Notamacropus eugenii: one gene and its partners. The protein of the gene in region 1 interacts with the protein of each later gene in a biochemical or structural test. Links are inferred from orthologs where the notes say so. Each region holds a gene or a part of one and is shown in the gene's direction. Other genes may lie near its edges.

What was found. The genes of interacting proteins can lie anywhere in the genome.
Region 2: the proteins of PEX5 (region 1) and PEX13 form a complex in vitro, tested with the Homo sapiens proteins (3 studies listed by BioGRID). The link is inferred for Notamacropus eugenii from reciprocal best matches to the Homo sapiens genes PEX5 and PEX13.
Region 3: the proteins of PEX5 (region 1) and AGXT are reported together in a solved structure, tested with the Homo sapiens proteins (2 studies listed by BioGRID and IntAct, with this or other methods). The link is inferred for Notamacropus eugenii from reciprocal best matches to the Homo sapiens genes PEX5 and AGXT.

The regions. Positions count from the first base shown.
Region 1 is NC_092874.1:195,640,018-195,650,792, forward strand, and holds the start of PEX5 (peroxisomal biogenesis factor 5), read left to right. Parts: upstream 1-6,374; 5' UTR 6,375-6,474; intron 6,475-6,957; 5' UTR 6,958-7,041; coding exon 7,042-7,188; intron 7,189-7,273; coding exon 7,274-7,309; intron 7,310-7,761; coding exon 7,762-7,894; intron 7,895-8,103; coding exon 8,104-8,235; intron 8,236-10,775.
Region 2 is NC_092872.1:643,856,033-643,866,083, reverse strand, and holds the start of PEX13 (peroxisome biogenesis factor 13), read left to right. Parts: upstream 1-5,998; 5' UTR 5,999-6,185; coding exon 6,186-6,277; intron 6,278-8,906; coding exon 8,907-9,601; intron 9,602-10,051. UniProt on the Homo sapiens protein: Component of the PEX13-PEX14 docking complex, a translocon channel that specifically mediates the import of peroxisomal cargo proteins bound to PEX5 receptor.
Region 3 is NC_092877.1:377,647,156-377,657,880, forward strand, and holds the start of AGXT (alanine--glyoxylate aminotransferase), read left to right. Parts: upstream 1-6,672; 5' UTR 6,673-6,790; coding exon 6,791-6,955; intron 6,956-10,215; coding exon 10,216-10,408; intron 10,409-10,725. UniProt on the Homo sapiens protein: Peroxisomal aminotransferase that catalyzes the transamination of glyoxylate to glycine and contributes to the glyoxylate detoxification.

The DNA.
Region 1 (10,775 bases):
CTGACTTTGCACATAAGACATGTATACAGATACCCATAAATGCAATTTAAAAAGTGCTAAGTGCTATAAGTACACAAAATGCTATTCAGAGAAATTAATTCTGGCTGGCCAGGGTTGACAATGGAAGTCAGGAATACCTCTCTCCCTGTCATAGTCCACTAATCAACACTAACCTATGTAAAAGAAAATGGAATATTACTCTGAAATATTAAAATTATGGAATTCTCTATTTGGTTCATCCACTGTCTTTGCAAATTTTTCTTGAATTTATTATCTGTCTGGATGTGGGTATTCTTTTTAATCACTGACCTTTTGGAATTGTGGCTTACCATTGCATTGATCATTGTTGTTAAGTCTTTCAAAGTTAGTTTTCTTTAGAAAGTAGTTATTGTATAAATTGTTCTCTAAGTTCTGCTCACTTCATTTGGTATTAATTCATATAAATCTTCTTAGAAATTTCTGAAACCATCCCTTTTACCATTTCATATGATACAGTAATATTCCATTGCATACACACATATATATATCTGTGTATACAGATATATATACATATACATACATATACGTATGCATGGACGTATGTATATGACCATAATTTGTTCAGCCCAATTGATGGGCATCTCCTCTTTTTTAGTTCTTTGCCACAAAGAACTGCTATAAAAATTTGTATACATATGAGGGTACTTTTATTTTTTCTTTGAACTCTCTGAGAAATATATCCAGTGTTATTTCTGGATAATAATAATAGGTAGCATTTTCTATAAGTACTTTAAGTTTTGCATAACTCTTTAGTTCACAAATACTATTTATTAGTTTACAAATATTATCTCACTTTATTCTCACTATAACCTTGGGATGTAAGTGCTACATGATGTCATTGATCCTTTCCAAGAATGAAGGATGAACAACAACAATCCCCATTTTATAGATGAGGAAGACAGAGGCTAGGTGATTTGTCAAGGGTCATATTTGTTGTTGTACAGTTCTGTCTCACTCTTTGTGACCCCATGGATCATAGTGCACCAGGCCCTTCTATCCTCCATTACCTTTTGAAGTCTGTCCAAGTTCATGCTTCTTGTTTTCATGATACTATCTATCCATCTCATCCTGTGCCATCCCCCTTTTCTTTTGCCTTCAATCTTTCCCAACATCAGGGTCTTTTCCAATGAGTCCTGTCTTCTCATTATATGGCCAAAGTATTTGAGTTTCAGCTTTAGTATTTGACCTTCAAGTGAATAATCTGAATTAATTTCTTTTAAGTATTAACAGATTTGATTGCCTTGTTGTCCAGGGGACTCCCAAAAGTCTTCTCCAGCACCACAATTTGAAAATGTCGATTCTATGGTGCTTACCTTTCTTATAGTCCAGCTCTTACATTCATATGCTACTACTGGAGAAACTACAAGGACCTTTGTCTACATGGTATTTGTCTTTGCTGATGCGGACTTTTGTTGGCAAGGTGATGTGTTTGCTTTTTAGCATGCTGTCCAGATTTGCCATAACATGCTTCCAAGGAGCAAGTATCTTAATTTCACAGCTGTGGTTGCTGTCTGTAGTGATCTCTGACCCTAAGAATATAAAATCTGATTCTTCTTCTTCTTCCTTCTTCTTTTCTTCTTCTTCTCCTCCTTCTCCTTCTTCTCCTCCTCCTCCTTTTTTCTTGTCTCCCTATTTGCCAAGAAATGGTGGGACTAGTTGCCAAGATCTTGTTTTTTTAGATGTTAAGTTTCAAGCCAGCTTTTACACTCTCTTCTTTCTCCCTCATCAAAAAATTTCTTAATTTCTCTTCACTTTCTGCCATCACAGTGGCATTGTCAGCATATCTGAGACTGTTGCTAGTTCTCCCAAAGACCTTAATTTCAGTTTTTGGTTCATCCAGCCTGACATTTCACATATTGTATTACATATAAGGTGATAATATACAAACTTAAACTCCTTTTCCAATCTTAAACCAATCAATTGTTCCACGTTCATGTCTAACTGTTGCTTCTTAGACTGTATACAGATTCCTTAGGAGACAAGGTCCTCTTTGAGGACCTGTCATATTTTGTTGTGATCTGCACAAAGGATTTAGTGTAGTCAATGAAGCAGAAGTTGATGTTTTTCTGGAATTCCCTTGTTTTCTTCATAATCCAGCAACTGTTGGCAATTTGGTCTCTAGTTCCTCTGCCTCTTTGAAAACTATCCTGCTCTTCCAGTAATTCTTTGTTCACCTAGCTTGTAGAATTTTAACTATAACCTTACTGACTAGTGACATGAGTGCAGCCCTTCTGTAATTTGGCATTGTCGTTTTTTAGGATTGGGATGTAAGCTGATCTTTTTCAATCCAGAGACCACTATCCTGTTTCCCAAATTTGCTGGCATATCAAGCATAACACTTTAACAGCATCATCTTTTAGTGTTTTAAATAGCTTAGCTGGAATTCCATCACTTTCATTAGCTGTATTGTTGTATTTGACTTCATGCTCCAGGACTCTGACTCTAGATCAGTAATCTCACCATCTTGGTTATTAGCGATGCTAAGATCTTTCTTATATAGTTCTTTCATGTATTCTTTCCACTTCTTAATTTCTTCTGCTTCTATTAAATCTCTACCATTTTTGTCTTTCATCATGCCCATCTGTGTGTGAAATTTTCCCTTGATGTCTCTAATTTTCTTAAAGAGATTTCTTATCCTTCCCAGTCTTGTTTACTTTTATTTCTCTGTATTGTTTCTTATCTCTCCTTGCTATTCTCTGGAATTCTTCATTCAGTTGGGTATATTTTCCTCTTTCTGAAGAGTCATAACCACTAGTTAAATGTCTAAAACAGGACTTTAACTCAAGTCTTCCTGACTCCAGGTCCAGCACTCTATTCACCGTACAATTTTGTGACTTTTGGGGTATATTTCCAAATCTACATATTTCCCTATCTTTTCCCATTGTTCCCCTGATCCCACTCTGATACTGCCTATGAGATTTAGAGCAAATCCTTTATCTTTCTAAGCCTCAATTTCATTATTTGTGAAATGGGGGGATTGTGTTAGGTGGACTCAAGCTCCCTTGCAACTGTAGAGTTATTTCTCTAGCATGTGGAGACATTAGGAATACTTGTTACAGAAATCAAATGAAATTTAATAGGGATGATATAAAATCTTACAGTTGGATTTTTAAAAAATCAACTGCACAAGTACAAGATGGTAGGGGGGATGAAGGTGGACTCTGGTATATGATTAAGGAGTAATAATTCCTGTAAAATTGGCCTAGAGGGTTTAGAAGACTCAAGTCAGTAATTTAACATGGTAGTCAGAAAAGCTAGTAGGGCCTCAGACTACATTAACATAAATATAGTTTCCAGAAAGGGGTCATACAGTGGTCATTTGAAAAAACTAGGGACTTTTAGGAGAGAAAAGCAACTTCACTGGAGGTGGGGGTGGAGTTTGTGTAGCGTAACAGCACATTTGGAAATGTAATGGGTCTTTTTTTTTGGTCCTAGACTAAAAATAGGAGCAACTTGACATGAAGAAAAGCTTTCTAAAAATTAGAGATGAGTAGGATGAGAAGACATGGGTTCTCCATTACTGTAGGTGTCTGAGCAGAATTGTGATGACTATTTATCATTGACATTGTAGAGGGTATTTAGTTCTTCTTAGGCATTGTTGGACTAGATGACCAAGAAAGAACAATGAATTTGGAGAGAATCTGCATTAGAATGCAGACTCAGCTAGTTACCCTCTTTGTGACCTTAGGAAAGTTATCTAAATTCTTTGGCTCTGTTTTCCTCATCTGTAAATGAAGTAGATGGACTAGTTGATCTCTGAGGTGGGCTTTGCTATATCCAGAGTGCCATCTACCACCTTCATCTTCTGAACTCCACTATAGGTTTAGTAAACTCAGACAGACAAAACTCCCAGATACTTTCCTCCCCCCCTTCCCCCCATGAATTTCCCCCCAAAACCACAAGGTTATCTTAGAATATAGGTATATTCTTGATCATTAGGTCCTGTGGGCCTAATTATTGCTATCTTCTGATAGCTGGGGAACATCACTTGTCCATCTTGTGATTTCTTACTCTCCTCCCTTTTCCTTGGTGCCTCTGTTCTGCTCCCTGGAGAGAGCCTAGGTTTGATGGTGGTTGGAGGCCTGATAATAATACAATATTTTTGCTGAGTTTCCCTTACCAAGATTATGGAGATGTCTTAACACATCCATAACCCTTTGCTGCTGGGAACAAAGAGAATAAACCACTAGAAGCCTTAACTGAAAACAAGAAAGCAGCAAAAGATAAAGTGGGCCAAGGGAAGAAAGAAGGCAATATTGCAGCATGAGAGAGAACTAAGGCTGACACTATTGCCCTGAGGCTCACAGGATTTCTAGGGGGGCTAATAGACCTTAGACATCATCTAGTCCAGAGGTTAACCTTTTTTAGTGTGTGTCATGGACCCCTTTCCCCTTGCTTGGAATGCTCTCCCTTCTCATCTCTGCCACCCGGTATCCTTCAAATCTCAGCTAAAACCCCACCTCTAGAAACCAGCCTTTCTTGGTTCTCCTTAATGCTAGTGGTGTCCTCTCTCTGAAATTACCTCCAACTTAACTTACCCTGTACCTATCTGAAGAAAAAATTTTGTATTTTTCAGAGATCAAAAATCCACCTTCTCCTTCTCAACTTGGAAAATTAAAAACAAAGCCCTCGTAACAAGTCTGCAGTGTAGCAAAACAAATAAACCATTGGCCGGTCCCCCAAAGTGTCTCAATCTGCATCCTTGTAAATATCTCCTACGTACATATCATCTCACTCATTATAATGGGAGCAAGGCACTGTGGGTAACAACTGGGGTTTGGCCCTTCTTTGTCCCAGCCTTGTGATTCCGAGCAAGTGGCTCAATCTGTCTCCCTCGGTGTTCTCATCTGCAGATTATCCGATAAAAGCACACACACAGCATCAGAAGAGGAAACACGTGGCAACTCCTCAATCTGTAAAGTGCTCGTCATTATTAATAATAATCATCTCCAGCCCCCGGCACTGTGCTTGGGAGCACAGCAGCCAGTTGCAGGTGGTGCCCGGATATTTCCGACGCTGCCTGTGTGACCCTGGGCAAGTCCTTTGATTCCTGTGTTTTCAGTTGCTGCGGCTGTACGATGAGGATGAGAACAGTACTAACCTCTTAGGAACCTCAGCTGAGAAAACGTAGGCAAAGGGCTACATAAAGGCACTCCGGGGCAGTTAGGTGGTGCGGGTTCCCCGCCTCATTTCACGCCAGTCCCAGGTGTAGGATCCCGGGGGTGTGGGCTGGTGAGGTCCCCACTCAAGCTGACCACTCAGCAGCATCTCAAGCATAAACCACAAGCCCTTTATGACTCTTGCACAAGCAGACCGGAGGAGGGGAAGCGTTCTGCAGAAGCAGAGGCCGGGTTAGGTAGCGGAAGAGCACCAAGACCCCTCAGCCTTTTGGCCAAGAGCCTCAGCCAGCAGTCTCTATTTCAGAAGTAGGGAATGGGAGTCAGGGAAACCGGAGGCAGGGGCGAGGGCCGGTTTCACAGCTTCAAGTGTCCCCACGTCATAGCCTGTCTGCTTCACTTTAGCCTTGGGTCCCCACACTCTCGGCCAAGGCACTTCAGTCTGCCTCGGTTTCTTCCACCGTCAAACCGCTCGAGCCCCCCGCGCTGTTGCCAGGGTCCAGTGCTAGAAACCTAGGGGCTCCCTTCTCAGAAGGTTGTTTAAACGCATGAAAGGAAATAAACATGAGTGCAAAGGAGACTGACTGCTTGAAAATATAGTCATCGATGGAAAAAAAAAAGTCCGTGGACGGCGGGGTGAGAAGCCCCGCTGTGAGTGCAGGCACATGTTTTACAGAGGAGGAGACTGAGGCCCGGCCCGAGGCCCGCCCATGCGGCGCTCCGGGGCGTTCAGGGCCGATCTCCGCTCCCGGGAAGGCCAGAGGGTTGGCACAGACGGCCTCGCCAGTCGGGGTGGAGGAAGTCCGGGATCCTGCCCAGCAGTCCGCGGGGCGGAGGCGCCCAAGGCCTGTTTCGCAGCACAGGCCGTAACTAACGCTAAGCGCAGGGAAGGGCGGGCGCTGATACCGGAAGGCCTATGCTCGCAGGGCGGGGAGTGGGGGGAGAAGGGGGAACGGGTCTCCGCTCCGCGGGCCGAGGCCTCCCCTTTAAGGGGCCGCCCCCTTTAAGAAACCGGCCTTGTCCGCGCCCACTCCGCGGCCCCTTTAAGCGCGCGCCCCGCGGGGCCCCGCCCCTTCCTCCCCACCCCCCCCCTTCTTACTCCGAGCTTGGTTCCTTTAAGCGCGCGCCCGCTTGGGGGACCGCGCGCCCGCTTGGGGGACCCCGCCCCTCCTCCTCCTCTTCCCCCTAGCCCGCTCCTCTTTCCACCCTCGGCCGGCTCCCGCCCCCGCCCCCGCCCCCGCCCCGCAGCCGCACCCCCGCGCCCGCCCCGCAGCCGCACCCCCGCGCCCGGAGCAGGTCTGGCGGCCGGCGCGTGGAGGTGAGCGCGGGGGGCCGAGGGGAGCCCGCTCCAGCCCTTTCCCTGTCCTCGCGGGACCCCGGGGGCGGGGCTGGAGCCGGGGGCGGAGGCAGGAGGGGGGGCCCCCTCGTGGCAGACCGCGGGACAGGGGAGCGAGACCAGGTGGGGGTACCACGGGCGGAGGGGGCGGGGGAGGAGCAGGCTGGGGTCCCGGTCCAGCCCCAGGGCTCCCAGCCTGCCCTGCCTCGGCGATGTCCCGGGCTTGGTGTCCCCCGGGCTCTGGAGCCTTCCGGGGATATAACGGGGCCTGCTGACCTCTGTCCTCTGACCCCCGACCAGCCCCCCGCGAGCTGCGGATGGGGCGCTCCCCTCCGCCCCGGTCCCCGAGCCTGGGCAGCACCGCCTTCCCAGGGTGGGAGGGCGGGTGGAGGCTGTGGGGAGAGAGCAGGTCCCCCAGCTTGCTATGATACAGAGAGGATCTCCCTTTTCTCCCCACCACCCTAGGGCTGGAGTTGGGGTAGGGGTCCCCTCCGAGGACCGTGCTGAGCGGAGAACGCGGGGCTGCCCGCCACAAGGCCTGCGGTCATCATGGCAATGCGGGAGTTGGTGGAGGCAGAGTGCGGTGGGGCTAACCCCCTCATGAAGCTGGCAGGTCACTTCACCCAGGACAAAGCCTTGCAGCAGGAAGGGCTGCACCCTGGCCCCTGGCCCCCGGGAGCCCCAGCCCCCGAAGCGGTGAGTCTTCGGGAAGGGGGCACGGGAGGGAGGGGAGGCGGAATGTGGGCACCCCTCTGACCGCCCCCTCTTGCCTCTCTCCTAGGTCTCCAAACCTCTGGGAGTGGCTTCCGAAAATGAGGTAAACATGCACGTCTCCTTCCTGCTACCTCTTCTCTTGTCTCCTTGCCCCAGTGGGAAGAGCGCTGGAGTTACAGGACCTGAGTTCAGATTCTGTCTTTGCCACTTACTACCTTTGTGACCTTGGGCCTCTGGGCCCGCTGTCCTCAGCTGCAAATGAGGGATTTGGAGTAGGTGACCTCTGAGATCCTTTGTGACTCTCAAGCTGTCATTCTGTGATACCTTGTTGCCTCTAAGTCTCATTCCCCTTCTTTTCCTTCCCTGGCCTGACGTGCTTTGGCTCCCTCTCTTATCCTTTTGCATGCTTCTCACTGGAGTTTCCCGTTTTCTTTGTTTCTGTAGTTTCCACGTTCTTTTCTCTCACCTGTGGTCTTTGTATGCTCTAGTTTGCAGGCTTCTCTGTCTTCCCAATCAAGTTTTCCTATTGCTTCTTAATGGTGTCTTTCCTGACAGTTGGTGGCTGAATTCCTTCAGGACCAGAATGTCCCACTTGTGTCCCGGGCTCCCCAGACCTTCAAGATGGATGATTTGTTGGCAGAAATGCAAGAAATTGAACAGTCTAGCTTCCGCCAGGCTCCCCAGAGAGGTAGATCCATGGCCCAGTGGGAGGGAAGATGGCCAATTTTTGTGCCATTTTGGGAGACCCCTTACTAAGGGCTGGTCATTGGCAAGAAGACTTGGAGGTAACGGAAGAGACAGGATGTGGTACTATCAGTTGAACTCAACTTGAGTTGCTGAGCTTTGTTTTTGTTTTTTGATTTTTTTTTTCATTTTTTATTCATCTCTTTCTCTTAGCCCCAGGTGTGGCTGACCTGGCACTATCTGAGAACTGGGCTGAAGAGTTCCTGGCAGCTGGAGATGCAGTGGACGTAGCTCAGGATTACAATGAGGCTGACTGGTCTCAGGAATTCATAACTGAAGTTACAGGTGAGGCTTTAAATGAGGGAGTCTGTAACCCCCTTCAATGAAGCAGTCAGATTCATTTCTCCTCCCTTTTCTCCCCATTCCTCCCCAATCAGGATATAATGCAGTTTCAACAACTTGATCCTTAGGTCCACTGGCTCAATTTTATAGGCAGATGGGCCTTTGACTTCCATGTAGGCCAGGGGTTCTTAAGCTGTTCTTAAGGTTCTTAACCTTAACAGACCCTGGACTGTGTTTTTTTAAAAAATACTTTGATAACTGTATTTTAAAAAATAATTTTAAAATAGAGTTTAATTACTTTCATTTTTTCAATTAACAAGCTTTTAAAAAAATCAATCTGTCTCTCCTAACACTGTCGCTACATTGATTAAAAAAATTTTAAAGCCCTCAATACATAGCCTACATAGTCCAGCAAAGCAAATTGCTACATTTACCATGCCCAAAAAGGTATGTCATACTGTGCCATCTTAAGTTCATCACTTCTGTATTGGTGAATAGCTTCTTCATCCACATTCTTTGGAACTAATCTTTTATCATTGCATTGACCTTTCAAAATTGTTTTTCTTTATGGTGTTATTTAATAAATTATTCTATTTCTGCTCATCTCACTCAACATTAGTTCACAGCGTCTTCCCAGTTTCTTCTGAAAGTGTTAGTTTCATCATTTCTTATGGCACCGTAATATTTCATTCATTCATATCCCATAATTTGTTTAGCCATTCCTCAATAGGAGGATACCCCCTTAGTTTTCAATTTGTGGATATCATAAGATCTGCCCTTTTTTTAAAAAAAAAAATCGTTTTGTTGGGGTTTAGGCCTAGTAACGGTATAGCCTGGTCAAAGGGCATGCACAGTTTGGTAACTTTCTGGGCATAATTCCAAATTGCTTTCCAGAACAGTTGGACCAATTCACAGCTCAAGCAACAGGGTAAAAAGTACAAAAAGTATACTTTTTCCCAGAGCCCTTCTAACATTTGTCATTTTACTCTTTTGTCATCGTTATTAGTCTTACAGGTATGAGGGAATCTCAGAAGTACTTTAATTTACATTAAATTCTTAGGGACTTAGAGCATTTCTTCATATAATTGTTGGGAACTTGGGTTTCTTTTTGAAATTTCCTGTTCATATCCTTTGACCATTTATGTAATGGGAAATGGCTGTTAGTCTTACAAACTTGAATCAATTTCTTATGTATCTTGGATATGAGACCTTTATCAGAGAAACTTGCTGCAGAGATTTTTTTCCCCCACTTACATATTTCCTTTCTACATTAGATATGTTTATGTAAAAAACTTTTTAATTTTACTTAATCAAAATTGTCCATTTTATCTTGTGTGATCCTCTTTAATACTTATTTCATTCATGAACTCTTGCCCATAGATCCTTGCTCCTCTAATTTGTTTATGATGTGACTTTTTATATCTAGGTCAGGTTTCTGTATGGAGCATATCTTGGTGTTTGGTGTGCAGTGTTGGTCTAAACCTAATTTCTACCAAGCTTCTGTCCAGTTTTCCCAGCAGTTTTTGTCAAATAGTGAGTTCTTCTCCCAACAGTTGGGGTCTTTGGGTTTATCAGTGTACTACTGTGTTTGTTTGCTTCTTTATGTTGTGTGTCTAATCTGTCCCACTGATAGACCTCTCTCCTTTTTTTTTGACCAGTACAAAATCTTTCTAATGATTACTGCTTTATAGTAGTTTGAAATCTGATACTGATGACCCCATCCCCAACCTTCCCACTTTTTTTCATTTATTTGAGATGATTGCATTTTTGTTCTTCCATATGAATTTCATTATTATTTTAATGAAATATTCTATGAAATGTAAAATATTCTAATAGGTCTATAAATATTCTTTTGAGAATTTGAGTAGTACAAAAAATGAATTTAGATAGTATTTTCATTTTTATCATGTTGCTTTGACCTACTCATGAGCAATTAATGTTTCTCCAATTATTTAGGTCTGTCATTATTTCTGTAAAGAGTATTTTATAGTTAGGATAACTATTTTAAAGAGACATGTATGTTATGCATTTAAAAACATTATCCTAAGAAGGGGTTTATAAGCTTGCCAGAAGAGTACATGGCACAAAAAAGGTTAAGAATCTTTGATTTATATGATGGCAGGGAAGTGAAACTGGTTTTGGACCAAGAAAACTGGTTTGTATTGGTGTCTGATAAGGTAATGATTCATTGCTCTTTGGGGGTCAACCATAAACTAGGGTTGTAGAGAGCTAGATATTGGTCACCATTCTAGAACCTCATCACTGTAGTCTTCTCACACAGAGAAGTCAGGAGTGGTTAGCCATCTCTAGTTAAGGTTATGAGCTTATAGCTTGTCTTGGCTGTGTTGCCTAGTCACTTTGATCATGTTTTGGGCCCCTGACAGCTTGAGATAGGAAGCTCCCTAGGATCAGGGTAGTGACATGAAAGCCCTGGGCATTCTTAATTTATCTTCTGAAGTTTGATCAGTATGGAAGACTGTCTGTCGCCTCTGTTCTTTCCCCTGGTGCTTGGTGGTACAGCAACAGAGGAGAGATTTCTCGAA
Region 2 (10,051 bases), on another chromosome or scaffold:
AACGAGAGTGATTTTGTGATTGTGATTTTAAGAGAGCCTGCTTGTGATGAGTGTAATGGACCTGGTTTGTGGAAAGCCTAGGAGGGGGAAAGATTGGGGATGGTGCATTATTATTGTGTATAGATTTTTGTTGTGTGATGGATTTGGGTCTGAGTGAATGTTTTGGTTCTGCCTTCCACACGTAAAGTCTGTGGTATTTCACGATTCTGAATTGCAATGCGATGTTCACGGCTGCCGTGGGTGCTGTGCATATTGCATTGGTGCCACACCTTTCAATAAAACTACTGAAATGCAAAAAGAAAAAGAAAAGAGAAAAAAAAGGGGTACATGAATTGAGTCCTGAAGATAGCAAGGGGTTCTCTGAAACAAAGGTGAAAAGTGGGTCAATTACAAGCACAGAGGATGACCAGTTCAAAGGCACAAAGATGGGAGGTAGAGCATCATATAAGGAACAGTTTAACTGGAACAGAGAATGGGACAGGGAATAATGGTAATATATGTTTAATAAATTAATTAACAGATTCAAACCTACAAAGGAATTTATTAGGTATATCAATTTAATAGTCATTAGCTATGAAAGAAAACTTGGTCAGGGAAGGATTTTAAGAAAGGCATATCCATCAGTTTCTACAATATATGCAAAATTGATTCAATTCTAATAACAACTTAATTACTTCTGTTTCTACATAGATTTCTGATTCAGTCTCAGAAAAAATAATCCAGATGGGGTTTCTGACAAAGCTTTTATAGAGAAAAATTACATCAGAAATACTATATAATATTTGACATACTGCAATCTTCCATGCTCTTAGCAGACCTAGCCAAACAGACTTAGTTACATATTAAAAATTCTTTCCAAAATTTAGAGCTTACAAATGTTTCAGAGGGGCAGATTTATATGTCACAAAGATAACCAAAGGGAGCCAGGAAGATCCTTCCACAATTAAAGCAAGTTAAAGGAAGCTCAAACTCCCTTCTTATCTCAGGAATGTAACAGGTTTCAGCCAGCTCAATAATTTCCTTACCAGGAGAAAAAGTCCTGAACCCCAAATAAAAATTAATAACAGGAAATCAAAATCTCTCATAACAATCAAAAATTTCTCATAACACTGATCTCTTCAAATGGGCATTCCTTCCATCTGTAGAAAACAAATCCCATCTATACTTTCTCATGCTATGAAACTCTCATCCATGCTCTTTAATAGATTATCCACAGAGATTCCAACCAAGATGTCAAGAGCCTTCCTCTAGGTCTTCTCGAGTTTCCTAGGTACCCATGAAACATGAGGGCTACGAATCTCTTTCCTTCACTCTTGTCACATAACCAAGCCAATTTCTTTCCTAAGCATACATATGATGATAGCATTTTTCTACTTCTTGTGTACAGTTCATCACTAGAAAGCTGCACACCTCTTTATTGGCTTGTGGATTAGCTAGTAAAATTTTGAGAATCTCAATCATTGCCAATAGTTATGTGTGTTAAAAAAGACAGGTCTTTTTATCAGGGGGCAGGCATGAAGCTCACATTCTTTCCCCTATTCAGTTCTTGGCCCAATTCACTCACAAATCATTTAGCCCCTTGGTGCTCTATGAAACTAAGACTATAAACTGCAAAGTGCCAACCTGCATTTAGTGGAAGTTTTTTCATTTGGGAGTTCACTATCAATGAAATCAAAGACCGTTTAAATCCCTATCCTCAATAATCTGAATATAAAATACCTAGTGGTAGCTTAGTGATCTGTAACATAGAACTAAAATTTGAAAAGTTGGAAGAAAACTGGGAAATCACCTAATGCAACCCACTCATTTTACAACAAAGGAAACTGAGGCCCAGGAGGGTTAAGTGACAAACAGCCACAGTCAAGCAGTCTGTGGTGGAGCCAGGATTCAAACATGGGTCTTCTGATGCCAGATGCAGTGCTCTTTCCCTCAAAAGGTCAGTCAAACTAACACTTCTTATGATTTGGAAGAACATGCATAGAAAAAAAAATATCTTATTCAGAAAAATGGAACATCACCTAGACAATAAAGTTTCCCACTGCTAATGAAAAGGAGCAAAAAATGAGCTACTTTCTCTAGATTTGGCAAATTTTTAGTTTTTTAGTTAGCAAATTCTCATACCTTGAAACCCCTTGCTTGATCTTCATCCAGCTAACCCTGTTCACTAACCATGGATAAGTCAGTCAATGAATAAACATTTATTAAGCACATGTGACAGGCACTATGCTAAGCCCTAGAAATACAAAGAGACAAAAGACAATCCCTACCCTTAAGAAGTTCACATTCTAATTGGAGTGACAACAAGCAAATACATACAAATATGGTACATACAGGATAAATAGGAAATAATTAACAGAGGGAAAGCATTGTAATTAAGAGGAATTGGGGAAGGAGTTCTGTAGAAAGTAGGATTTCAGTTGAAATTTAAAGGAAGCCAATTTAGCCAGGAGGCCTGGATGAGAACAGAGTACTGTGGGCATGGGAGACAGAGAAAATGCCTGGGGCTACAAGATGAAGTGTCTTGTTCACGTAACCATGTAACAGCCAGAAGGACAGTGATCAAAAAGTATCTCTTGGGGAATAAGGTGTAAGAAGACAGGAAAGGTAGGAAGAGGCTGGGTTATGAGCAGTTTTCAATGCCAAACAGAGCATTTTGTATTTGCTCCTGGAGGCAATAGGAAGCACCTGGAGTTTATTGCATAGTGCCATGATCAGATCTATGGTTTTAGGAAGATCACTGGTGGCTGAATGGAGGATGGACTGGAACAGGGAGAAGCCTAAGGCAGGCAGATCCATTAGCAGGTTATAGAAATAGTGCAGGTATGAGGTGATAAGGGTCTGCACCACAGTGGTAGTCTTCCATCTCCTGCTTGGCACAGCTTGTCCCCTGAGGCAAGGGGCCAAGCCAGATATCTTCAATCTACCTCAGTGCAACCACTTTTGCCTGTACTGGCACAATGAATTTTCTACCTCTTGCTTCCAACCCAATCCCCCAACAGGAATGTGGAACACCTTCAGTGCAAAAAGCAACTCTTCCTTTAATTTCAAGCCTCTCATCTCCTGCTATGCCTGTCTTTTGATAGTAGAGGAGGAGTGCCTCCACTCAGTGATAAACATTCTCACACCTGGTCAGACTCTTCACACCCCAGGGACTCTGAATTCAAGACCCATTCCACATCCCCTAATATCTAATTCCTCATTTCTATCCTTCCCAACCTTCCAAGAAAGTTTCATCCTAAGTCCACCCAGCCTTTCCACTGTACCTTTTGGAATGCCTGTTTTATAGGCAACAAACTTTCCTTCATCTTAAATCTTTTCCTCTCCCACACCTACCATTTACTAGCCCTTACTGAAACCTGGCTCTTCAATGATGAAACAGACTCCCTGGCCACCCTCTACAGTAATAGCTGCACTTTCACTTATAATCCTGGGCTCATGGTTGGGGCGGGGCGGGGGGGGGGGGGGGGGGGGGGGGGGGGGGGGTTCGAATACACCTTGCTCCCCACTGCCACTTCTGGGTTCTCTCCCTTCCTCTCTTCTATGCTATTCATATCTACTACCCAAACAAGATCCTGGTAGCTACTGTCTACAGACTCCCAGGTCACTCCCTTTCCTTCCTCAATGAGTTTGATACCTGGCTTACAATTTTTCTCTCCTTCCCAACTGCCCTCATACTGGAGGACTTTAACATACACAGTTCCTCAACCTTCTCAATTCCCATGAGCTACTCCCCCACTCCATTTCAGCCACACACAAAGATGATTCTATCCTTGGTCTTGCTGACACCCACAAATGTACCAACTCCATGTGCAGAAACTCTGAAATCCCCTTAGCTGACCATAACCTAATGATTTTCCCCACCCCATCTCCCTCTTGCCTTCCTCCATATAACCCCACTCTTCATGAGCCCTCTCTTCTCCCCAGGCCATCTCTCCAGCATTAACCATCCTCTCCTCTCCTCATCTTGACTCCTTGGGGAAGCCGTTCTACTCCACGGTGCTCTCCTCTCTTGAATCCCTAGCGAATCCCTAGCCTTCTTATACTACCAATTTCGCCCCGTCAACCCTCAGCCTCAGACGGCTCCCACCATTCACAGCCTTCATTTCTGCACATGTGCAGAGAAAAATCACATGACCATTCTAACTAGGTCCATTACAAATTTATGTTACATCGCTTCAGCTAGCCCCTTACTACTGCTAGGCAATTCTATTGTATCTCCCTTATCAACACGCTATCCCACTCTCCAATGGGGCTCTTCCAAACCTTTTTATCCCTCCTCAAATCTCCCATGGCTTCCTCTCCCCCCCACTCTCTAAGCTGAGAACCTTGCCTCTTATCATACAGAAAAAAACTGAGGGCATTCCCAACTCCCTCTTCTTCATCTTCTATCACTCACGTGCCTTCTGCCACTCTTTACTCTTTCACTCGTTTCCCATAATAAACTGGCTTTACTCTTATTCCTTACCAAAGCTAATTCCTTTCCTTGTTCAAGTGATCCCATTCCATCCTGACTCCTCCAACAGATTGCCCTCTGTCATCCCAACTTTTTCACTTATTTTTAAATCTCTCTCTCTGGTGGCTCCTTCCCTACTATCTACAAACATACAGATAGATCCCCATCCTAAAAAACCCTCACTTAATCCTTCTGTCCCTGCTGTCATCCTTTATCCCTCCTGCCCTAACTCCTTGAAAAGGCTGTCTACAATTAATGCTGCGACCTTCTCTGGTTGGTCCTCAGACGACCGCTGGTCCCCTACTAAAATCCTCTCCACCTTGATAGGACTCGCTAAAGCACGCGTTACGTGAGCACAGCCTATGAGAACCAAGGGTCACCTCGGTACCTCGATAAAGTATAAGAACTTTAATACTTGATCCCCATCTAATAGATAAGCGAGAGAAGCTGAGGGAGCTGTGCCTAGTCACACGGCTCTTAAGCAACCCAACAGATTCCAACATCACCGCTAACATAAAGACCAATCTTTTGACTCCCCAATCCGGTGGGGGTTCAGTCCACTACAAGGGGATGCCCGATGACCTGAGTCTCATGGCCTTTTCTTTCTATTTTTTTCCCCAAAGTTCTGAACTTCTGGCAGCACACCTCCCACATGCACCAACTGCAGAAGGGCTTTCCCCTCCAACTCCAGGAGGTGCTACTTCCCTCCACCCCCCACCTCTAGGACTTCTTGGATCACCCCTTATACAGTAAAGTACACGAAAATACTTAAAAGGAGTAAAGGGGGAGGGGGGCAGAGGAAGGCACGTGGCGCCGCCGGGAGGATACCCACCACCAGGAAGACCTAAAGCGGCCTCCCGCAGGTCGGCCTCCCCCTCGCAGACTTCCTCGGGCCACCCGCAGATTCCGGCGCGCTAACCCCCACGCCTCCAGCCGCTGGGAAAGTTCGCTGGCGTCCCCCGGGCCGGGTCCAGGCTCCGGCCCCGCGCCGCCTCGCACGCCTGTTCCCCGCGTGCACGTCAGGGCCAGTCTCTCTCCGGCCCCGGTCCCTTCGCCCGGCTTCTCCCGCGCTCGCTCCCTGGGAGCCTCTCTCCAGCAGTAGCGACGGCGGCAGCCCAGCTTAACCCCTTGCGTTCCTCCGAGGGAATGGGGACGTGAAAAGAAGACACTCGGTGCCACGCGCAATGCCGTCCCCGGAGGAAACGCGCTCCGCAGCATCGAGGTACCGCCTTTCCTCCACGCCATCTCCGGCCCTGCCCGGCCCTGCCCCGCCCCACGGCTTGCGGAGACTTGCGTGAGCTCCCACCGGCTGCACTCGGAAGGACTAGGTCCGGGGGCATCATCTTGTCCCGCGGCCGCGGTGGAATATTGACTTGTGTCTAGAGAGGTGGGAAAACAACGGTCTCCAGGACTCCGTAGCAGCAAAAGAAAACATCGATAAGCCCGTCCCCTACCTCGGGAACTTCCCCCGGTACACAGGGAAGGAAAGAGGGGAGCCCGAGCTGTGTTCCACAGAATGTGGTTGCGGGTCACCCAATAGAGCCTCCGCCGGGTAGACGGCTTGCCCTTGCTCCTGGAAAGGCGAACCCTCGGCCCGGTGAGGGGGCGGGGAAAGGTTAGCGAAGTGAATGATTCGTCGCTCTCCTCGTCGGGTCTGCGGGCGCGGGACGCTCCTGTGACCCCGGCTGGAGCCGCCGCCGAGCCGAGCGAGAGCCGAGCCGAGCTTTTGGAGATGGCGTCTCAGCCGCCGCCTCCGCCGAAGCCTTGGGAGACTCGGAGGATCCCGGGGGCAGGAACAGGACCCGGGCCCGGCCCCTCTTTCCAGTAAGTGTGAGGGCCTTTGGCTCATGCTGTCGGGGAGGCTGAGGTGACGGGTAGCGGCAGTTAGGATCGTTGGGTTTGGCCCCCTCCTCGCCGAGGCCTCCGGAGCGGCCGAGGCCGGGGGTGGAGGGCCGGGCCGGGGCCCGGGCCCCGGGCAGCTTCTGCGGGCGAGCGGCGTTTGTTAGTAGCCTGCTGTGAGGGCCAGGCGCCGGACTGGGCGCTGACGACACGGGGAAAGGCAGCCCCTGCCCAGCGGCCGGCAGAAGCCGACCCCAGGACCCAGGGGAGATGACGGACGGACCGAGGGCTCGGGGAAGGCTCCGTGCCGAAGGCGGCGGGGAGAGCTGAGGAGGGAGCGTAACCTAGGCAGCGGGGCAGCCGGAGAAAGTGGTCAGAGCTGGGTCGGGAGGTCGGCGTCACGGGATCGAGGTATAAAAAGACTGGAAGAAGGGGTCTAGGCGAGGACATCTTGTTGTCCTGGAGATCTATAGGAAGCCATTGGAGCTTGGGGGAGGCGGGGGCGAGTTGACAGGATCTGACTTGAGTCTTAGGAAAATGAATTTAGTGGCAGAAAGAATAGGGAATGGATTAAAGTGGGAAGAGACTTGGGGCAGGTTATAGCGGTGGTTCAGGCCGAGATGATGAGGGTGTGCACCAGAAGGGTGGGAGGGTGAAAGGAGAGCAGGGGGCATCAGGCTGTCTGTACCTCTGAGCTTCTGATGAGAGAGAGAGAGAGAGAGAGAGAGAGAGAGAGTGTGTGTGTGTGTGTGTGTGTGTGTGTGTGTGTACACGTGTACGTACGCACACACCCCGTATGTATGGGGGGAGGGGGAACCTCTTTCCTGAAGCCTCAGTATTCAAGGAATAAAAATGAATCTCCCAGTTTCCCTTTCTCCAATCCTTGAGGGCATTGCTTTCCGCTACTAACTCAATAATAGAGTGGTTGGGGCGCCCAGTATATAGTAAAAGCATTTAACTACAGGAGGCCTCAGTAAAAGGTGGGGTTTTTTTTAGACATTTAATAAATGTATATTGGAATGATTTTGTTCTTGTCTTGCCAAGTTCCCCTAATATTTGGCTCTGGATTTTGGAAGAGTCATTTTAAGACTTACTCTCCTCTACTGTGTATTATTATTCTCCCCTCCCGATGGTTTCTTGTTCACTGCAGAGATGGAGACAAAATATCAAATTTTGATCAATCATTGAAGAAACACAACAGCGCTAGAATATGTTGCTGCCGAATTGCTTCTGTAGATGCTCATCAAGCTTTGCATGAAAACAAGATCGGGGATTGTTCACATAATAAATATCCCTATCTTTTGGGTACATTGATCATTGTTAATAATAGTAGATACAACGTAAATAGGAAAAGTTTAATTTTATAGATCTTGTTTCTAGTTATGTAAAGCAGATCTAAATGTTTTGTTTTTGCAGTACTTTTTGTTTGCTTGTGGGTTTCAAATCAATGCTTAAAACGGTTCTTGTTGCTTTGTAGATTGGTTTGTAGGAGCCCTTTGTCCAGCAGTTCTGAGAATATCAATAACAGGGACTTGCAGTGAGTAGAGGAGGGAGAGGAAGAATTGATGCCAGATAGCCTCTCTCCTTTTACTTTTATTTAATCTTTAGTTCATATTACTGTAGGCAGAGCACTTTGCTAGACACTGGAAAAATACAGTTTAGAGAAGCCACAGCCCCTGGTCTCATGGAGCTTACTGTCTAATAAAGGGATATTACACAAACTTATCTATAATGTGCAATATCACATAAGTGCATTGTGTGGGAAAGTTCTAGGCATAGGAACAGAGGCTGGAAAGAACAGTAAGGTATATGGGGGCTGAGTTTAGCTACCCTATAGGGGATTAGAATATGAGATAAGGCTGGAACAACAGAGTAGCATCATGTTGTATGGAACTTAACCTAACAAAGAGTTTGAACTTTCCTGAGTAGTGAGTAAGGAGACCCTAAATTTTTTTGAGGGGAAGCATGATAGGATTAGACTTTTCAGAACTCCCTATTTTGTTTATACTCTTCACCTTGGTATTTAATCATATATGCCATCTTGTATTTTTATTTTCTGTATCTTGTGTCCCCAATGCAACTGTCAAGTATTAGAGGACAAGAACTATTCCTTTTAATGGTTTAAATGTGTTTAAATGGTTTTAGAGTTTACAAAGTTCCTTCATGCTGTGAAAGCAGATACTGTTTTATATAAACTTTGTTTCTCCTTTAGTGTCTAACACAGGGCTCTACATATTATAGACCTGAAATAAATGTTTAAATGAAAGAATGAATCTCATTTGATTTTCACAAGCTTATGAGGTGAACAGGAAATTTTTTTTACCCCTGTTTTCTGAGTATGGAAGCTAGCGGAGGGTGGGGAGGGCTCTTCTGGAAAGTTTGACTAACAGGCACATAACGCAAAGCAATTCAAAAAGACCTATAAAGAAATGGAGAAAGTACACATACAACTTGAAATAACTTAGTAAGCATTTTTATATTTCTTATCATGTATCTCAACTTAAGTGCATATTAGGAACTTAATAAATAATTACTGAATTGAATTTTAGTGCTTGAGTGATTATCCTTGTCATATGGATATGGATCCTGAATCTCTAAAATTTTCTTTCTTTAGATCTGCTGATTTGGGTCCTACTTTATTGACAAGGCCTGGGCAACCAACTCTTACAAGAGTACCCCCACCAATTCTTCCAAGGCCATCACAGCAGACAGGAAACAGCAATCTGAACACTTTTAGACCTGCTTACACTTCCTTTTCTTCTGGTTATGGAGCATATGGAAATTCATTTTATGGAAGCTACAATCCTTACAGTTATGGATATGGGGGGTTAGGATATAACCGATTCCGTATGGATGATCTTCCTCCCAGCAGATTTGTCCAACAAGCTGAAGAAAGCAGCAGAGGTGCATTTCAGTCCATTGAAAGTATTGTGCATGCATTTGCTTCTGTCAGTATGATGATGGATGCCACCTTTTCAGCTGTCTATAACAGTTTCAGAGCCGTTTTGGATGTAGCCAATCATTTTTCCCGATTGAAAATACATTTCACAAAAGTGTTTTCAGCTTTTGCATTAGTTAGGACTATACGATATCTCTACAGACGGTTGCAGCAGATGATGGGTTTAAGAAGAGGCTCTGAGAATGAGGATTTATGGGCAGAAAGTGAAGGTACTGTGGCTTGCCTTGGCCCTGAAGACAGAGCAGCTAACTCAGCAAAATCTTGGCCAATATTCTTATTCTTTGCTGTTATCCTGGGGGGTCCTTACCTTATCTGGAAACTGCTATCCACCCACACTGAGGAAGTAACAGGTAAGGACAATTTATAAGGTTACAAATAATCATATTTCTGTTATAAAGGAATAAGGTCATATAGCCACCTTGAGTTTTTAATGAATGGGACATATCATCAGATTGTAGAAAATAATTTTATTTGGTTTTGGTCCTTTTATAGATATATGTTGAGTAAAGGATATTTTTGACTGGAAAAACAACAATTAAGCATAAAACAAACTTGTTAATTTAGTCATTGATTAAAGTAAACAATTATTAATTGCATACCTACAAGGGCACTTTGCTTGATGATATCCAGAATTTTAAAAACAAATGGCATGGTCCTTGTTTCTCAGTTACTATGTAATTTAGTAATTGCGATGAGAAGTCTACACAAGAAACTGCAATACAAAGTAGAATACGATGAAGGGCTATACATTAGAGTACAAAGCTCTAAAGGAAGTCAAAGAAGGGAATGATCACTTTCAA
Region 3 (10,725 bases), on another chromosome or scaffold:
GAACTTCATAGAACTTTTGGTTGTCACCATACCAAGAAGTAATAATGTTTGGACTCCTCAGGGAGTGAGGAGGGTGCTAGAAACTCTCTTGGGTAACTCTCTATGTGCTCACCTCCACTGCAAGCCAGCCATGGCATTGCAATGAGTAGAGAGTGCAAAAGAAACCCATTTCAAGCTACTTAACAGTAGGAATGGCAACTTTAGGAGTTAGAGGACTCTCTGCCCGTCTTTAAGGAAATGTTGGATAATTCCCTCATTTTTTGGAGATATTGTGGTAGCGATTCTTAGTCAGAGATGGGTTGGACAAGGTCACCACTGGGGTGCCTTCCAGTTCTCAGATGCTGCAGTTCCATAAACTGAAAAATACAGGAGAAAGGGGGAGAAATGGTACTGAATAAAACTGCATTGTCAACTGCATTGTTTACAGTTAACACAATTCCATCAGCAATCCAGTTTGACCAATACCTGAAGCAGACTCCCCTCTCTGACATCCTGACTGGTGATTGAAGAATGCAAGTGGACAACTCGTCGCCTGCCCAAAACACCCATTCCACTTGAGGACACTTCCAATGGCAGAGATGTTTTGTGATATCCAACCTAAGTCAGTCTTTCAGTAATTTCTGTCCATTGCTCTGGCTTCTATCCTTTTGGACTAAGCAGCACAAGACTGGTTCTTCCTCTGTATGAGTTTCCTTCAAAAATTTGGGAATACAACTCGCTTTTCTCCAAACTAGGTTTCTCTTGTTTCTTCATCCACTCTTCATGTGGTATTACTTTCAGTCTTCTGCCCTTCCTGGTTAATGAAGAAAATATTCTAGAAGTCACTGCTACCTTTGTTCTGCCAACAGGAATCAGTCACCAACCATTCCTCAGATATGAACTAGGCTCATCAAATCCAATCCAAAGAGCTTTCATTAATTGCCTACTGTGTTAAGTTAGTGTTGAAGTATACAAAGGGTAGTAATACAAAGGTGTGAGGAATGATTAAAACTTTTGTTTCCACAGAAATTATGTAATATGTGGCAAGAAATCTAGGAGATCCATACATACCCAAAAGTCTTTTGACTTGCAGCTAATGAAGGAAAATAAATTCATTGCAGAAGACAGCAGTGGGAGATGTTGATTAAACATTTTCACTCATCAGGCTAATCAACATGTCTAAGAGAATTTCTCTGCCTCTGGCTATTAAGAACGAAGGCACTATAAACATAGATTAGTACTAGATCATCTTCTAGAAGAAGAAGAGGGAAAGTGAAACACTTAACAAAGAAGTTATGTCTCACACTGAAGATAATGGGCAAAGCAGGCTCCAACTGGTTTTATCTTGTTTTGAGGTTAGAAGTTACTAAGTAGGTAAAATCGAGGTCTTATTGGAATGCTAATGCCTAACAAGATTATGAATATTAACTTCTCCCCTAAGGGACTAAGGGTTCATTTTAATGGCCATACAATGCATGTTGCCAGAGTAGGGGGACACATAAAGAGGAACTATGTAATAGGTACATCGGAAAGTTGTACACCCTAAATTACCCAGCCAATGAGGAGACAGGGGAGGTACTTTGTGGTTGGGCATAGGTTTTTAAGGCTTGTTTTTGTTTCTACAGGGTTTATCTATTTTACGAGACACCTGCCACTGCAGTCGTGTAATAAACTAAACTTTTATCTTCACCCCGCCCGAGTCTGAATGAGTTATTTCTCACAAAGGTAGAAGGCATGATCAAAATGATGAAGGGCTTTAAATGCCTTGCTAAAGAGTCTCTGTTTCATACTAAAGGCAATGGGAAGCCATCGAAGGTTCTTGAGCATAGCAGACCTGATCTGACCTGGTCAGCTCTCTCAATTTATGGAGGAGGACACTGAGGCATGGAAAAGAGTACAAGTAGTAACAAAACTAGAATTTCAATCCAGGTCCTCAGACCTCATATCTAAGCATCTTTCCTCTCCATCATGTCATCTTTCTCTCTGATCTCTGCAGCTGTGAAGATGTGATGGATGTCTTAGGAGTCCCTAAATTAGACAAAGTTCTCTTCATATCTAATGTGAGAGAGAAGTGAGAGGAAAGTTCTGGGTTTACTTTTCTTTCCATGCTGTGTTCAGGTCAGCATTAGTGGAGGTCTTGGATATTTAATTCCTGAAGCCATGACAGAGCCTTGACCCTCCTTGCTTGCTAAAGTTGTGGGTTTGCCCTTTGCAAAGTCTCTCCTGATCCACACATGTGTAAGAGAAAGCACAAGAAGAGGTTCTCTCTATTCAGTGCCAAAACAAACAGTTAAAAACTGATGAGGTGGGGTAGGAGAGAGCTCCGAAGAAAGACAAAACAAAAGCACAAATTAGTTGTTTGGTGCAAAGGAGTTGAAACCCAACCCAACCAAGCTTACTCCTCAGTTGTTTCTATAGATTGTTTCTTGGTGCACATGTTCTCGGCTGACTTCAAGTCTGTTTGTGTGGACTGAACCTAAATGTCTATCTCTGTCAGGTCACTTATTTTAGCGAAGATTTGAGTCCAATTCAGTCCACTATATTTCCAAGAGACTGTGAGATTATTTGGTTTGTACTTACATTACTAAAACTTGGAAAGGACAAATGAAAGGATGGAGTCAAAGCAATAGTCAGCAACAGATTTCTATCCTTTAATGCTTACATTAAAAGGAAAGAGAAATAGAAGACTAACGAATTTAGTTTATAGTTGAAAGAGATGGAAAATGAACAAACAAATACGCCAAAAGCAAACTGAAAATGGAAAACAAAATAAAAGGAGAAATAAACAAAATAGGAATTCAAAGAACGCTTAGACTGATACATCTTTTAAGTTTGTTTTTATGAAGACCAACACAAATGATGAAACAATAGCAAATTTTATTTTTAAAAAGATTATAAAGATCAAATTGGCAAAATAGAAATAATAAAGTAAATCAAGAAGAAATTTTAAAAACTGTCAGAATCTCTTGTACACAACTAGATGTCAACAAAAATTGACAGTATAAAAGAAATGTTTGGCTATTTACCGAAATATCCAATGGATAAAACAGGAAAGAGTCTAAATAAACCAACTTCAGAAGAAGGAAATAAACAAACTACTAATGGTCTTCCATGTATAAAGGCCCCCCAAAGTAGATGGATTCACAAATGAATTATATCAAGCATTCAAAGAACAAATAACACCTATACTTTTTTTTTAGCTTGGGTCTCCTTACCTCACCCTGGTTGAAAGTGTAAAAGCTACTCACAATACTGATCATCACAGAAACTTTGACCTGTTCCATTGATTCAACCTATGCCACTTTCCCCCTTGTAGGCAACCTCATAGCCCTCGATTGGTGAAAGATCCTGAACTCAAGAAATCCCCCCCACCTCAAGATCCTCAAAAGCAGAGAATTCAGGCATGCCTTCCCACACCTGGCCTCCTCTACTTTTGAAGCCATGGTCTAGTTCCCTTAATTCTGGACTATAATCATTGCCATCATCATCATCATCATCTTCATCGTTGTCATCAATGCTAGGTCTCCCTGTCTCATCTAGGCTGGAAATTCAGTGGCCACTCATGTGTCTAACCCCACTGCTGATCAGCATGGAAGCTTGAATCTACTGTTTTTTAACCTGGGCTGCTTAACCCTTCTTTGGGCAGCCTGCTGGCTCCCCATTCCTGGGAGCTCATCATATTTATGCCAGACTTTGGAAATATCTGATTGACTTAGCCCTAGGCAGCTCAGACCTCCTGATGCCAAAAGATCCTCCAGCACCATCATGCCTGGATGCTTTGATACCTTTAAGTAAAGGCTGGATGACTATTGTATCATGGGTGCTAGATTGTCTAGCCCATACCTTTCTAAATTTTCAACAAGAATAGGATGAGTTTATTTATCAGATGTTTTACTAAACTCTAGGTAAACTATGTTCTATTGATGATCTATAGATCCCTGATCTGTTATTCTACTGATTCAATTAAAAAAGAAGAAAAGAAAGTTAGCCAGGTTGAATGAAGGTGTGTGACTTCATTTCTAGGTAATCACCCACAATCCCTTTTCTACTGTAGAAGGGATTCTGTTTTGGACAGAGCTCAGACTGATTGACCTCTGAAAGCCCTTCTAACTGACCTTCTGTATTTTTCTGTGTGATCTCCCTCTAATAAATGGGAACTCCTTGAGAGCAGCTTCTGTCTGCCTTTCCATTAGTTTATTCCTAGGGCTTAGAATAATGCTTTGCACAGGAAATGTCAAATAAAAATGCTAAATAAATGTTTTTTTCATCTTTTCTTGTCTCCTGTTCTCCCTCCCTCTCTCCCTTCTTTCCTTTCTTATTCTTTCCCTTCCTTCCTTTCTCCTTCACTTCCTCCTTTCCTTTCTTTTTCCTTTCTCTCCCTCCCTCTGTCTCTTCCTCCTTTCCTTCTTTCCTTCCTCACTTCCCACTTTCTTCTCTTCTCTCCCTTCCTCCCTTCTTCTCTCCCTTCCTCCCTTCTTCTCTCCTTGCTTCCTTCATTCTGGGATGGACGTGAAAGAGACATGGACCATGTTATCTTGCAAGACTATGAGGGAATATCAATTTTCAAATAGACGGTTTGACTCTATCTTCATTTCATGTTCATTCGTTATTTGCAGGCTCAGTAATTATTGAATTCATTATTTTTCTAAGGCCTTTCTTTGTTCTGTTCCCCAACGATGTTAGAACTTTAAAGATGAAGGCCTTGGCCTTTACAACCATAAGTGCAAGGAAACTGGACCATCGATTCAGAACTGGAAAGAATATTAAAGATCATGCAGACTGATTCCCTCACCTTACAGATGAGGAAGATAAAAGCCCCAAAATAAGAAATTATGTCAGCTGTTCAGTTAGTGAGAGGGAGAGCTAAGACTTGAATGCTAGTCCTCTGATGCAAAATCTAATACCCTTCCTCTTGTATCCCCTCCAGAAAGATTCCTGCTTCAACTCCTTGCTAAAGCCTTACTTTTAGCCCTTTTCCATGGCCATGTGGGACGTTCTGCAGTCACAGAATCCTCCTAGGATCAACATGTGTCATAACCACACCTTCCAAATAATTGAATCTCTTAGAGTGCTCATCTATTAATGAAAAGTCTGCGGTCACAAGAGATTGTTCATTGTAAGAAATGTTTATACTGGAGTGAGAAATATTACTGGCAGTACAGAGACATGTTCCACAGAGAAGAACACACAGTAAAAGTCCTGGTTCTGGATTCAAAGGACTAGGGGGTTCAAATTCTGTCTCTCATGCTTACTCCCTATGTGACTCTAGGCAAGTCATTTACCCTACCTTGGCCTCAGCTTCCCCACTTATAAAACAAGGGTTGGAGCAAGTAAGCTGTGATATCCTCCCAGCTCTAGTTATATGACCCTATGTTACTTGGATCTCAGTTTACTCTTCTGTAAAATGAAACAGTTGAACTATGTTCTCTCAGATCCTTTCCAGGTTTCTGTGACTTTCATGGTGTTATTCTGAAGCTTAAATGAGAGACTAATAGTTGATGCTTTTATAGCTGCCCCAGAAAGCAGGGGCTGTTTCAGCTGGGAAAACAAGGTTTGGAACTTAATAAGTGCTTAGTAAATGTTTGTTGACTAAGAGTAGTTTGGGACTTCTAAAGCACTTTGCTCCTGATCAGCCTTCAATGTCTATTGGGCATCATCCCCATTTTACAAATTATTAACCTGAAGCACGGAAGGCTTAGGGGGCTTGCCCTGGGTTGCAGAGCTTAGTGGGGGCAGAGCTGAGCCTTGGGCACTAGCACCTTACCTGGGAGTCCAAGAAACTGACAGGGACACCATGCTGTCCTGGAAATGGACCCAACCATTTCATAAAACTCATGAAGTCCTATCAACATCATGGCCTAGTATCCAACTCACATTTATTTTATCTCATGATTTTCTTTTCTTTTTGAATTCTCATATAGGGGTTTCTGCTTCAGTTTTCGTGTTGTTTTCTTTTTTTCTAAACAGAGACAAAGAGTCTGAACAAGTCCATGAAATCTGGCCCCTCCAAGAGCCAGAGGCTCAGAGTTCAATGTCTAAGGGAACGTGGGGTGGGGAGAAAGGGAGGGAGAGATGAGAAGTGCCCACTCCTTTAAAGAAGCAGTTGAGCAGGGGTGGAGGGTGATAATTAGAGATCAGATGCCATTGGCTTTCATTAAGAAACTTTAGTAGATTAAGAGGTTTGTTTGGTTTTTTTTTAACCAAAAGATCAAGAACAAGAAAATCATAGAAAAGGGAGGTAATAACAGAGGGCTTAGATCAGACTGTTTTATTGATCCTGAAGGGGGCAAGGGAACCCCCTTCAACCCTAAAAAAACAGGACTCAGTAGCCTTTAAAAGTTAGGTCCTGTCGTTGCAACAAGTAGGACCAGGTGAAGTTTGGGGGAAGAAGCAAGAAAGAAGAGGGGAAGGAGAGAGGGAAGAAGGGAGAGAGGGAGAGAAAGACGCAGAGAGACAAAGACAGAAACCGAGAGATACAGAGACAGAGAGACGGGGGAGGGAATGAGGGAGGAGAGAGAGAGAGAGAGAGAGAGAGAGAGAGAGAGAGAGAGAGAGAGAGAGAGAGAGAGAGAGAGAGAGAGAGAGAATGAGAGAGAGCTTACTCCAGGTTTACAGAGACAGAACCTATTGATTCTTGTTTCTTTGTTGATAAAAGACCTGTTGACCTGTTGCAAACAGCAAATCAATCAGTGCTTTTAAGCACTGCTGGGAAATACACAGGTTCATCCCACGCACTGTGTACTTGGCTTCCCAGGCAGCAGGTTGGGTCCAGTCACACGTCCCTGTCCTGACACCTGCACAGAATCAGGCCATGGCCAGTCACTCATTGATTGTGGCTCCTCCAGCTTCCCTGAGAAAGCCCCTGAGCATCCCAGACAGACTTCTGTTGGGACCTGGACCTTCCAATATTTCTTCTCGGGTCATGCTTGCAGGGGGCCACCAAGTTATTGGACACATGCATGATGAAATGTATCAGGTAAGTGACGGGAAAATTGGCTTTGACATCCTTCTCCAAAACTCTCTCTAGAAATGCGTTTCAACTTCAGGATAGCAGATAGTTGGAGTCTGAGGTCATGTTGGACCTGGAGGCAGGAGAGAAGTGGCTTTGAGTCCTAGCTCTGGCATTTACTATCTGTGTGAGTAACTTGGCATTATTAGGCCTCAGTTTTCTCATCTTTAAAATGGAGAGAACAGTACCTGGAGTGCTTCTAGCCCAGTGTTGTTTGTGGGAGTGACTAGTCATATATGTGTAAATGAAATAAAACAAAACCGTATGCTATGAACCTCTTGTTGAAGTTTCACAGGAGCCTAGAGCCAGGAGAAACAAGAGAGCAGAAAATCCAACACCCTCATCTACAGAGGAGTAAAATGAGGTCTAGAGATCATGGAATCACGGCATTTTAGATGTAGGGCTGTCTGTACATAAAGTGCTTTGCAAACCTTAAAGTTGTATATGAATGTCAACTATTTTGGTCAATTATTCAAAAAGCCTTATTAAATCCTTTGTGGCAGAAACTGTCCTAGGTGCTGGGGATACAAATCAATTAATCAGTGAGTGTATTATTCACCTACTTTGGCGTGCTGAAGATATAATGCCCAAAATAAAGCAGTCCCTTTCTTTGAAGGGCTAACATTCCTTCAAGAGAGACAATATGCACAGGTATACACATACAGCCACAAAACAGATTCAAGGGGATTGTTGGGGGAGGCCGAGCAGTTTGGAGATCAGGACTCATGTAGAAAGTAACACTTGAGGTGAGTTTTTAATAAACTTGGGATCATAAGAGACACAGATGAGAAAGAATGTATTTCAGGCATGAGGGATAAATATGAGAGGCACAGGGATGGGAAAGGAAAGGTCAGTTATGAAGAATAATTGATACTTGTGGTGGCGGTGGTGGTGGTGGTGAGGGTGGTGGCGACTTTAGTGGTGGTGGTGAGCATGAAGGGTTAAACCAAAAGACCTCTGAGGTCTCTTCTAACTCAGAGATTCTACAATTCTGTAAAATGAAATAACAGTTGCAAAAAGATATTTCAAGAAGCCTGGGTCCTAATCTTGCCTCTGTCAATAGCTAAATATAATGACCTGGCACAACCTACTTCCCCTCTCTGGACCTCAGTTTTCTCATTTGTAAATTAGAAGGGCCAGACTAGATGATCTCTCAGGTTACTTCCAGTTACTTAATAAATGTCTGTCGAATTGAATTAAATTGGATTCCTTCTAATATAGGGTGTTCCATCTAGTAAATACTTAATGACCTTGGAGAAATAGTTGAGAGTTGCCCAGCCTCCCTCTGATTGCATCTCTCCAGAAGGGCCAAAAAGGACACTAGCTTTGGCTTTTGCCTTTCAGGGTCTCGTTCCTGACTCTCTTCTGTTTATCTCTCTCTCTCCATTTCTCAGGAAACTGAAGATAGCCCTGTAACTTTCTGGTCATGCTTAGTTCTTTGCCTTAGTTCATATGATTTAGAGTTAACCTTTAAAGTCCAATCTCTTCATCTTCCAGAGGTGTAAATAGGAACCCAAAGCAAGAGAGTTCGTAATGTGAGTCATTAATAGTTGGGAATTCACCCAAATCTATTGTTCTTTCCACTACACCTTGACCAGGAGCTTAGGGGTGTTTATGGTTAGAGGCTCCTAAAATCAGAGTTAGAAGGGACCTTAGAGGCTATCTAGTGCCCCATTTGACCAATTAACAAATTGAGGTCCAGAGACATTAATTGATTTGCCTAAGGTCACACAGGTAGTATGCATCAGAGCCAGGCTTTTCTTACTCTACCATATTTACCGATTCAGAGCTGGAAGGGACCTTTGACTCCATCCAGGTCAATGCTTTCATTTTACAGATGAGGAAACTGAAGTCCAGAAGCAAAGTGACTTGGCTAAGATCACATATTTTCCACATTAAAATCCTTTCTGGGTATACAATCCCTTTCACACTTGCTTGTTCCAAAGTCACCAGCCGAAAATAGGTAAAAACAACTCCATTGTCAATATGAAATCCTTGCTTACAGTTCTAAGAAACAAAGAAACCAGCTATTTGTCCAACTTAAGAACTGTCTTTAGAAAAGTTCAAATTCTTTAGCCACTGACCAGAGTGATTTGAGGGGGAGGAAGGAGCACATAACTAGATGGAAACTGAGGCTGATAGATTAAGGAATTTGCCCAGGGTATCACACAGCTATTATGTGTCTAAGGCAGAATTTGAACTCAGTGGCCTCTTCATTTTACCAAATTGTTGTCAAACGGAGATGCCAAAAAAGATAAGAAAGGAGGTCAAGAACAGTTCAGTCTCTTTTGAATTCAGAATACATAAAAGGAAGTAGAGTGAAATAAGGACAGAAGGAGGGATTATGGAGAACTGTGATTCCATTATTTATTAATAGAATCAGCCTCCTCATCATCATCATAATAAAATGAAGGCAGAAAGGACTTTGGTACAAATTCCACCACGGCATAATGTTGGCTCTGTATGCTTCCATGAGATAGTCTGTTATTTTTCCCAGCTCCTTCACAACAATTCTGGTAGGAAAGGAATATAAATATTAATGTGCCCATTTTATGACTGGGAAAACTGAGACTCAGAGACATTAAGTTGCTTGTCCATGGACATACATCTAATTAATCTCAAAGCCAGAATTTGAACTCATCTCCTAACTCTAAATCTCTATTTTACCATACTTGTCTTTGCCTCCTTCAATTTCTGATCAGAGTTCTGTTGGATCTCTCTTACTATCTGTGTGTCCTTGGGGAAATCATTTAATCTCTCTGAACCTCAATTTCTTCATGAGGAGGTTAGTCTAGAGGTGGCTGGAAGCTCTTCGAAACTCTAGATCGATGATCTCATGGGCTGTGGTGGCCCTTATATCATGTGTTTTCCCTTGTCTCCTTGTGGGTAGGACTTCTCCCTCCCAGAGAGGAGAGAGAAGTCAAGGAGGGTGGAGAGAAACAGAGATAGACAGAGAAGGAGGAGGAAATGAATAAAGGAAGACAGAGGCCAAAACAGAAAGAGTGAGGTAGACGTGGACAGAGAGAAAAGAAGAGAAAGATGGAGAGAGGGTATTTGAATCCTTCCCTAGAGGTTGTATCTGTATTGACTTCTCTGTCTAGCATGGTGCCTTGTATATGGGGGACATTTAATAAACATTTGTCTTTGAGAACCCTCTGTTCAAATAAAAATGTCCTGATCAGCATAATTCCCAGCTGGTGGTCATTGCCTTTTGTCTTTTACTTCAGATCATGGATGACATCAAAGATGGCATCCGGTACGCATTCCAAACCCAGAACCAGCTCACCCTGGCCCTCAGTGGCTCTGGACACACAGCTATGGAAGCTGCCATGTTCAACCTCGTTGAACCAGGGGACTCTATCCTGGTAGGAGTGAATGGCATCTGGGGACAGCGGATAGTGAACATGGCTGAGAGGATTGGTAAATAAACCAATTCTGTCTTGGGGGGAGTTCCAGATTGACCAAGACTGGGTAGGAAAGTGACTTTAGAGAAATGTAGGCTACTGTTGGATGAATGGCATTACAAGGGAGAAGATTTTGAGCTGGAAAGGACCCTGGAAAGCATAGTTCACCTCTCTTATTTTACTGATGAGGAAACTGTGAATCCCTAATGGAGTGCTATAAATGAAAGAATACCTACTCTCAAGGAACTTGCATGTGACTGGGTTTATCTCTTTTAAGTGACTTGCTTAGGGTTACACAACTAGTAAGTGTTTGAAGTTGAATTTGAATTCAGC